Caenorhabditis elegans: one gene and its partner. Changing the gene in region 1 together with any one later gene gives a genetic interaction. Each region holds a gene or a part of one and is shown in the gene's direction. Other genes may lie near its edges.

What was found.
Region 2: of mom-5 (region 1) and tam-1, changing one enhances a phenotype caused by changing the other (phenotypic enhancement), as found in Caenorhabditis elegans (one large-scale study listed by BioGRID).

The regions. Positions count from the first base shown.
Region 1 is NC_003279.8:9,963,809-9,967,565, forward strand, and holds the start of mom-5 (Protein mom-5), read left to right. Parts: upstream 1-1,771; 5' UTR 1,772-1,832; coding exon 1,833-2,305; intron 2,306-2,798; coding exon 2,799-3,169; intron 3,170-3,233; coding exon 3,234-3,372; intron 3,373-3,757. UniProt on the Caenorhabditis elegans protein: Receptor for Wnt proteins.
Region 2 is NC_003283.11:4,961,412-4,965,168, reverse strand, and holds the start of tam-1 (RING-type domain-containing protein), read left to right. Parts: upstream 1-2,066; 5' UTR 2,067-2,174; coding exon 2,175-2,210; intron 2,211-2,266; coding exon 2,267-2,378; intron 2,379-3,100; coding exon 3,101-3,726; intron 3,727-3,757.

The DNA.
Region 1 (3,757 bases):
CTGGTCACAAGCTCCCAGTTGTGTTGCTCTCGTCAGTTCTTTTTCATCGAAACGACGGGCCTATTTGTTCATTTGATTTGATTCGGGAATTGAATTTGACACCCATCTCCGGCACGAGACGTGTATGTTGGCTCTTCACATTGCGAAACTCGGCCTCCCAGTTCGGATGTTGGAAAAGTTTATTCAAAAGTTCAAATAATATGTTTATGTGCTCCTCGAGTTCGTCGATATTAAATTTCTGGCATCTTTTTTTGAATTTCGAAAACAATTAAATTATTTATATAATTTTCAGGCTCGATTCTGCGATTTTTAGCAAAAAATACGGTACCTCTCGACGCGCCAAATTTTTGATAAATGTAGAAAGCTGTGCGCCTTGACAGAGTACTGTAACTTTAAACTTTGCTGCGGAATTTCCATCGATTTTTTATAGTTTTCCGATAGAAAATATTGATTTATTAAATAACTTGATTAAAACAATGAAAATCCATGAATTTACCTATATAAAATCAAAACAATCCGCAGCAATGCGAGTTACAGTACTCCTTGAAGGCGCAAACAAAACTTTATCGTGTCGAGACCTGGTACCGTATTTTTGGTGCAATATTTTGCGTCCTTTTGCTTAAGAATATCGTTGATTTCAGACAATTTGTTTTAAATGTTTTCTTTGCTTTCTTCAACTTAAATATTTAAAAACTAAAAACTAATTTCCGAAATGCCAAAAAATTCTACCAGTTAGGTCATTGCTCTTATCTCTTCTACAGATCGATCGTCCCCGTTTTTCTCAATTCGATTCTCATCTATATTTTCCTCAATTCTCTCCAAACAATAACAAGAATATTTTCGAAATGAATCACTGTTTGAAAATTCTTGAATCCTTCCTCCCTCATCCGTTTGCATGTTCATTGCCCATTTGACACTCGAGCAGCAGGTGGCCTGTGTCTCTTCACTCTTTTTCGATCTTTTCATTAGGTCAGTGCTCATCATCATCATTAATTACTCTCGAATTCCGAGCCGTAATTATTCTTTACTGTGTGTGTGTGCTCCGTTCTCTCGGAAGTTGCGTAACGAGAGAGTATTACAAAAAAGAGATTAGAGGCATGTTGTACAGTAATCTAAAGATTAGATTCACTTAGATACCGAAATCTACTATTCTTTGTCTTTCTTTGCCACGTTTCTCACTATAATTTCACGATTCATTGATTCGATTTAGCACTTGGAACCAATGTCAACATTACACCATTTCACTTTTTTTGAAAATTCAATGTTTTCTCATCAATTGAAGGTCAATTTATGGACCGAGTCTTCTATTTTGAATTCCAATAAAACCTTCCAAAAAATGTTTATAGAAAATGTTTCGAAGAGAAATCCCTAAATTTAGCCAAAATTTTTAATGTGTCATCTTTGCCAACTGCCGGAAAGTATTTGTGTTGGTTTTCTGATATTTCGAGAAAAAAAAAGATTTTTCGTAAAATATCTAAAATTGTTGGCCATTTTCCTCCGTTTAGAAGAATTTTTTGAAAATGTTTATCCACATCAACAACTCATTAAAAATTTCACTTTTTGTTAATTTTCTAAACATTTTTTTTCGATTTTTTCTGAAAAAGATTTTAGCTATTTACTTAAGTTCGGTTTTTTTTCCAAATTTTGCCAAAAATCATTTTTCTAGAATTTTGTTCTCTCCATTTCACAAACTATTAACTAAATAATGTTGAACTTCTTCTATACATATAACCAAAAAAACTATTTCTTTAATAATTTTTTATATTTTCAGACGAATCCTGCTATGAACTAACACTTGTCAATCTGAAATCTCTTCAAAACTATCAATTACAATGCATCGACATATTCTGATATTATTTTTATTCGGATGCTTATCAGCTGATCAACGACTCTCATCAACTTCAATTTCATCGATGAATGGATTCTCAACAACTCGAAAATGTGAACATATTACAATTCCAATGTGCAAAAATCTGGATTACAATCAAACAGTATTTCCAAATCTTCTCGGACATACAACACAATCTGAAGCTGGTCCAGCAATTGCGCAATTCAATCCATTAATTAAAGTTAAATGCTCAGAAGATATTCGTCTCTTTCTTTGTACTGTCTATGCACCTGTCTGTACAGTACTCGAAAAACCAATTCAACCATGTCGAGAATTGTGTTTATCTGCAAAAAATGGATGCGAGTCATTAATGAAAAAGTTTGGATTTCAATGGCCAGATCAATTGGATTGTAACAAATTCCCAGTAACTGATTTGTGTGTTGGCAAGAATTCCAGCGAGTCGAGCAACTCTAAAAAGTGGGTTTTCTGCATAATTTTATGAATAAGAATTTATAATTGATATATATTTACAACAAAAATTTCAAAAGTACCCAAAACATGAATTAAAGTTTAAATTTACGGGAACCGTTCTAGAATCCTTTTTTTAAATACAGCGAGAAATTAAATTGTAAATTCAGTTAAAATCATCGGTTTTGCATTTAAAGAAAAATAATAATAAATTCAGAATGGCCTGCAAAGACCGAACCTCGTAAGAGTTTTCAAAAAAAAAAAGCTCTCTGAAAATTAAATTTACGGCCGCTGTGATACTGACAAGTTTGGCTGAATTTAAGTATTATTCCGAATTTTTGAGCCCCATAAAAACTCCTACTCCAAAGCGTCAAATAGTTTTTTATCAAAGTTTTTGAATTTAGAAATTTTCCGAAAAAAATGTACATCGAGATTTCTAAATTCTTTGTTTTATCGAACAATAAAACAAGTTTCCGTAGATCGAAATATAAAATATTTCAAGTTACAGAAGTAGTAATGACGTCACATTCGGTGTTTCAACAATTGCCAACGAAGTTGTCCTTTCTCCAAAAAAATGCCCTCATCATATGCATACAACAAGCGGATCTCATTTTTCATTGCCTCTTCTCAGTGGACGCCTTCCTGAATGTTCATTAACATGTGAAGCTGACAATCAAGTACCAATGATGTTTGATGGACGTGTTCGACGAATTCTTCGAATCTGGACAGCAGCATGGTCTGTGGCATGTTTCGTGTGCTCTTTATTCACTCTTGTCACATTTCTTGTTGATTTATCACGATTCGCGTATCCAGTTCGACCGATTTTGTATCTCGCGTTCTGTTATCTAGCAATTTCTACGGTTTATATGATAGGTGAGTTGAATTTTCTGTTTTTTTTAAATCAGATTTTTTAGAAACTAAAAATGTATTTCTACAGGCGTAGTCGGTGAAGATGGATTCGCTTGTGGAACGTATGGATCTACTCCAACAACACTTGTTACGCAAGGAGGAGAAAATGTTGGATGTAGTGCTCTTGCTGTTGTTCATTACTTTTTCTTCATGTCAAGTTGTGCGTGGTGAGTTTTTTCGTTAATTTTTGTATTTTAACGAAAAAAGTACCGTTTTTTGTACCACAAATAGAAAACTGGTTTTGAAAATGTGCATTCGAAAAAAAATCGGCATGTTTTTCTTTTGTTCAAACACATTTTTCAACAAAAAAACGACAACTGAAACATTTTTTTTTTAAAGAACTTTTTGAATATTTTGATAAAAATTTTAATTTTTATAATTTCGAGTGTAATTTTTCAGAAAAAAATTACATTTATGATTTTCGACAATTTTCAGTAACAAAAATCTAAAAAATATTTTTTTTAAACCAAATTTTAAATGAAAAAAACCCCGTTTCCGGAAAATCGGAAAATCAAAAAAAAAATTCAATTTTTATCAAATTTTGTTCATGAA
Region 2 (3,757 bases), on another chromosome or scaffold:
TTCAATATTCAACCAAGAAATAATCCCATTCAATATTATGTTTTGACACACAAATCGCATATGTCTTATCATTTTCAATGCATTTTGTCAAAAGAGACCCCTAGAGGGTATTAGAAAGACGAGTGGAATGGAAATTTTTGTACCCCCATCCTCACCACACAAGTCTCCAGACACATACACTCTGTATTGTTGCACAATGCCACTCTCTTTGTTATTTTCCTTTTTAAAAGCTATTACGCAATTGTGTTATTGATGTGTAATCAATGTGATCACAAAATAATAACATTGCATCAGTATTGTTGTCAACTGAAATGTTTTCCTAGCGGAATTAGAAACATGCTCTCTCTCTCTCAACAACGTAAAAGACGACGATAAGAATCAATATTATGATTTGACCTATTCTGCGTCTCTAAGCACACAGATGTTTTTGTCAAACATCAGAGCGACGGTGCCGAGGTATTCGTTCGTCTGTCATCATCGGTCTTCTTCTTCTTCTCACTTCACAACGTTTTTATTAAATTTCCATCCTTTTCTCTAGTTGCCTCTTCTTCGACGCCTGCAACCTCTCTCCTCTCGCCATAAAATCATCTAAATTGAGCCTCCACCAGCACTTCAATTTGCATTCCATTCCCTCCGGTGTCTTGGTCCAACTGCTGTTATGTATTCTTCGCAATTACCGAACACCTTTTGTCTTTAAGGAAGTCATGCTCTCTGTCGAGCAGCTGTGTGGTGGTTGCTTTAATCCGAGCCACCACGGCTCGCGCGCGGAGAGCTCAATGAAAAATAATCATGACCCTCGGTGGCTGCTGCCGCCCCGTGGGATGTGTCTGCCGGACGGGAAGGTTCGTTTTCTTCCCCCCGTCTCGGTGTAAACCAATAGAGAAGTGGTGGAGATTATCCCGGTGCACACACACACACACATACACATATGACAGACAACCATTCTCATCGATTTTCCGTCTTCGTTTTTCGTCACCATTTCTTTCTTTCCAACTGCGAGACCTATTATCCTATTATCGTGGTCCCCCCTGAAACAATCGAAGCGAGGAATAGACGCGTTGTCTTTTCACTTGATTCATGCACGCACAATTTGATGAATATATGACCCGACTCTTCTTCTTCTTTCCACTCTTTTCTCACTTTAATTTTCGTCGGCTCTCTTATTTTTCTGGGTTTTTATTCATTCAATCTCGCAATTTTTCAAAAAATTGCCAAAAACTACTGTATTTCTAAAGGCGCATGGACCATTGTTGAATTTGGTTCTCGCCACGATCTGAACTACGGTTGATGATTAAGCCGAAATTGATCTATTTTTCTCCAACTTTCGTCAATGAATCATAGTTTTTACAAAAAAAAATTTTGGAAGTATGTTTTAAATTCATTTATTCAATAATTTGAATTCAGTTTGAAAATAGAATACGATTTTTAACACAAAACTCAAAAAAAAAATCGCAAAACCCTACCGTACATTTTAAAGGCGCATGACCCAATTTATAATTTGGGTCTCGCCATGATCAAACTACGGTTGATTAATAAACATTTTTTATTTTTCTTTTTCTCCGATTTTTTCCACTTTTCCGCCGATGAATCATCAATTTTCATCAATAAAATGCCTGAATACAACTTAAAAAAATTATTTTACAATATTTTCTCGTGTGTTTGCCCAGAAAATGACATTTTTCAGTCTTTTTTTCGTAATATCACAAAAACAAACTTTTTTTTTTCTTGCAGCGCGAGATTCTTCTTATTTCGTAAATAGCATTTCGAAATTTTTTAGTCTTTTCGTATTTTTCACAGCGAAAACATCAAAAGAGATCACTCACTCACAAAACAAATTTCCTCCAGTCTTTATTGATTTAGACAGCAATTTTCTCAATCATAAACACGCCATCTCTCGTGCACCCTCATCCTCATCCACCCAAAAAGCCCCTTTTCATCGCAAAGTGCTTGTTTTGTCTGTGTCTCTCTCTGTGCGTTTTCCTCTCTCACTTTTTGATTCTTTGCAACTACGCCCCACAGCGTTCTCCCCGTTCGTTTTTCAAACATTATTGATTTTTCTCATTTTTTTTCAGGGTAATTTGGATTCCGCCTGACGGGCAAATCGGGTTCAAAACCGATTATTCACATTTTTATTGGAATATTTGAATATATTTTTGTATAAATAAAAAGCAATAATGGACATTCCGGGCACAAGTGGTACCAGTAATTATGTAAGTTTGTGTGAAAATAAAAATGATTAAAATCAATATAATTTTTGAATTTTCAGCAACAATGGGCTCACGTCGTCGAATGCCCGATTTGCTACAACATTTATGATAAACCGATGCAGATGGGATGCGGACACACGCTATGCTCAACGTGTATTGGAAGATTGGTAGGTTGATTGATAATTTTGAGCTTTTTCAGGTCGAAATGGTCAAAATTTGAAGGGAAAGTTATATTTTCTGCCGTTTTTTTAAACAAAATTCTCAGTTTTTTGCTTTTTTTTTAACAGAAAAAGGTAATTTCTGAGATACAAATCACATTTTCAGGCATTTTCATGTCATTAAAGCGTTTTTGAAGTTAAAACCACGCTTTTTCTCGAAATTCGACTTAAAAAATGTCATTGTTCTGACATTTTCAGTGATTTTGAGACGCTTGGAGCTAAAATTCATATATTTTTACTGATTTTCCACTTAAAAGTTCAATTTCTTCTTGAAATTTGAGAAAAAAAAAACGATTTTTATGTTTTTCTGAAAGTTTTCACAATTTTCTGCAATTATTAAACGTTTTCCTATGAAAATTAATGCCAAAATATAGAAAATCACTTGGTTTATCGGGAAGTAACATTTATTTCAGCTGAAACATTGAGGAATTCGCCAATTTTGAGCACTTTCTTTGAGATTTTATGTGGAAAAATGATATTTTCAGATAAATCAACTGATTTTCTATATGTTGAACTATTTTTTGATAAAAAACGTGATAAAATTGGTAATTTACCTGAAGTGACCTCTAGAAAACGCGTGGCAACCTTATTTTACAAAATAAATTTGCTATTTTCTAGCAAATTTTCATATTTTTAACTTCTTCCATCTCCAATGAAACTTAAAATTACAGGTAGATCAAGTGAAAACCAACATGGCAGAAGAACTCGGCCGCCCACGTGGCCCACTTCTACATCCCGACGATATAGGTCCAGGCTTCGGAGGCCTTGGCGGGTTTGCCGATCAGGAAGATCAACCACATTTCATAGATCTTCCCCGTCTAGATCCACGAATGAACCCAAACGATCCGAATATGGTGCGTGGAATTGTAGTCCTACCGAGACGTGGACCAGAAGCTCGCGCCACAGAGATCAAGTGTCCAGAGTGTAGAAAGCCGACGCTGGTGCCGGCGGATGGCCTACCTGTCAACTATCGAGTTCAGGAAATTGTGCAAAAAGTTGCTCCACTCTTCAAGGATCGCCATCTGGTCAAGCTGTGCAATCAGTGTGAAGCTGTTCTCAGTCAGGGTGTCTATTTCGATTGTTCACAGTGTGAGGAGACTGGCCGAAAGATCTGTTCGACATGCGCGATCCGATTGCACAATGGACATCAGCTGGTTGAGAAGAAGGCGCTGACGTCGGATGATGTTCGAGAGATGAAGCAAAAGATCAGTGATGCATCACATGCTGCATTTCAATCGCTTGAAAATTTGAAGCCAAGACTGCAATCTGTTGGTGGAACTATAGAAGCAAAAGCTTTAGATGTGAGTTTCAGAGTTCATAGAAAAAAAAAAA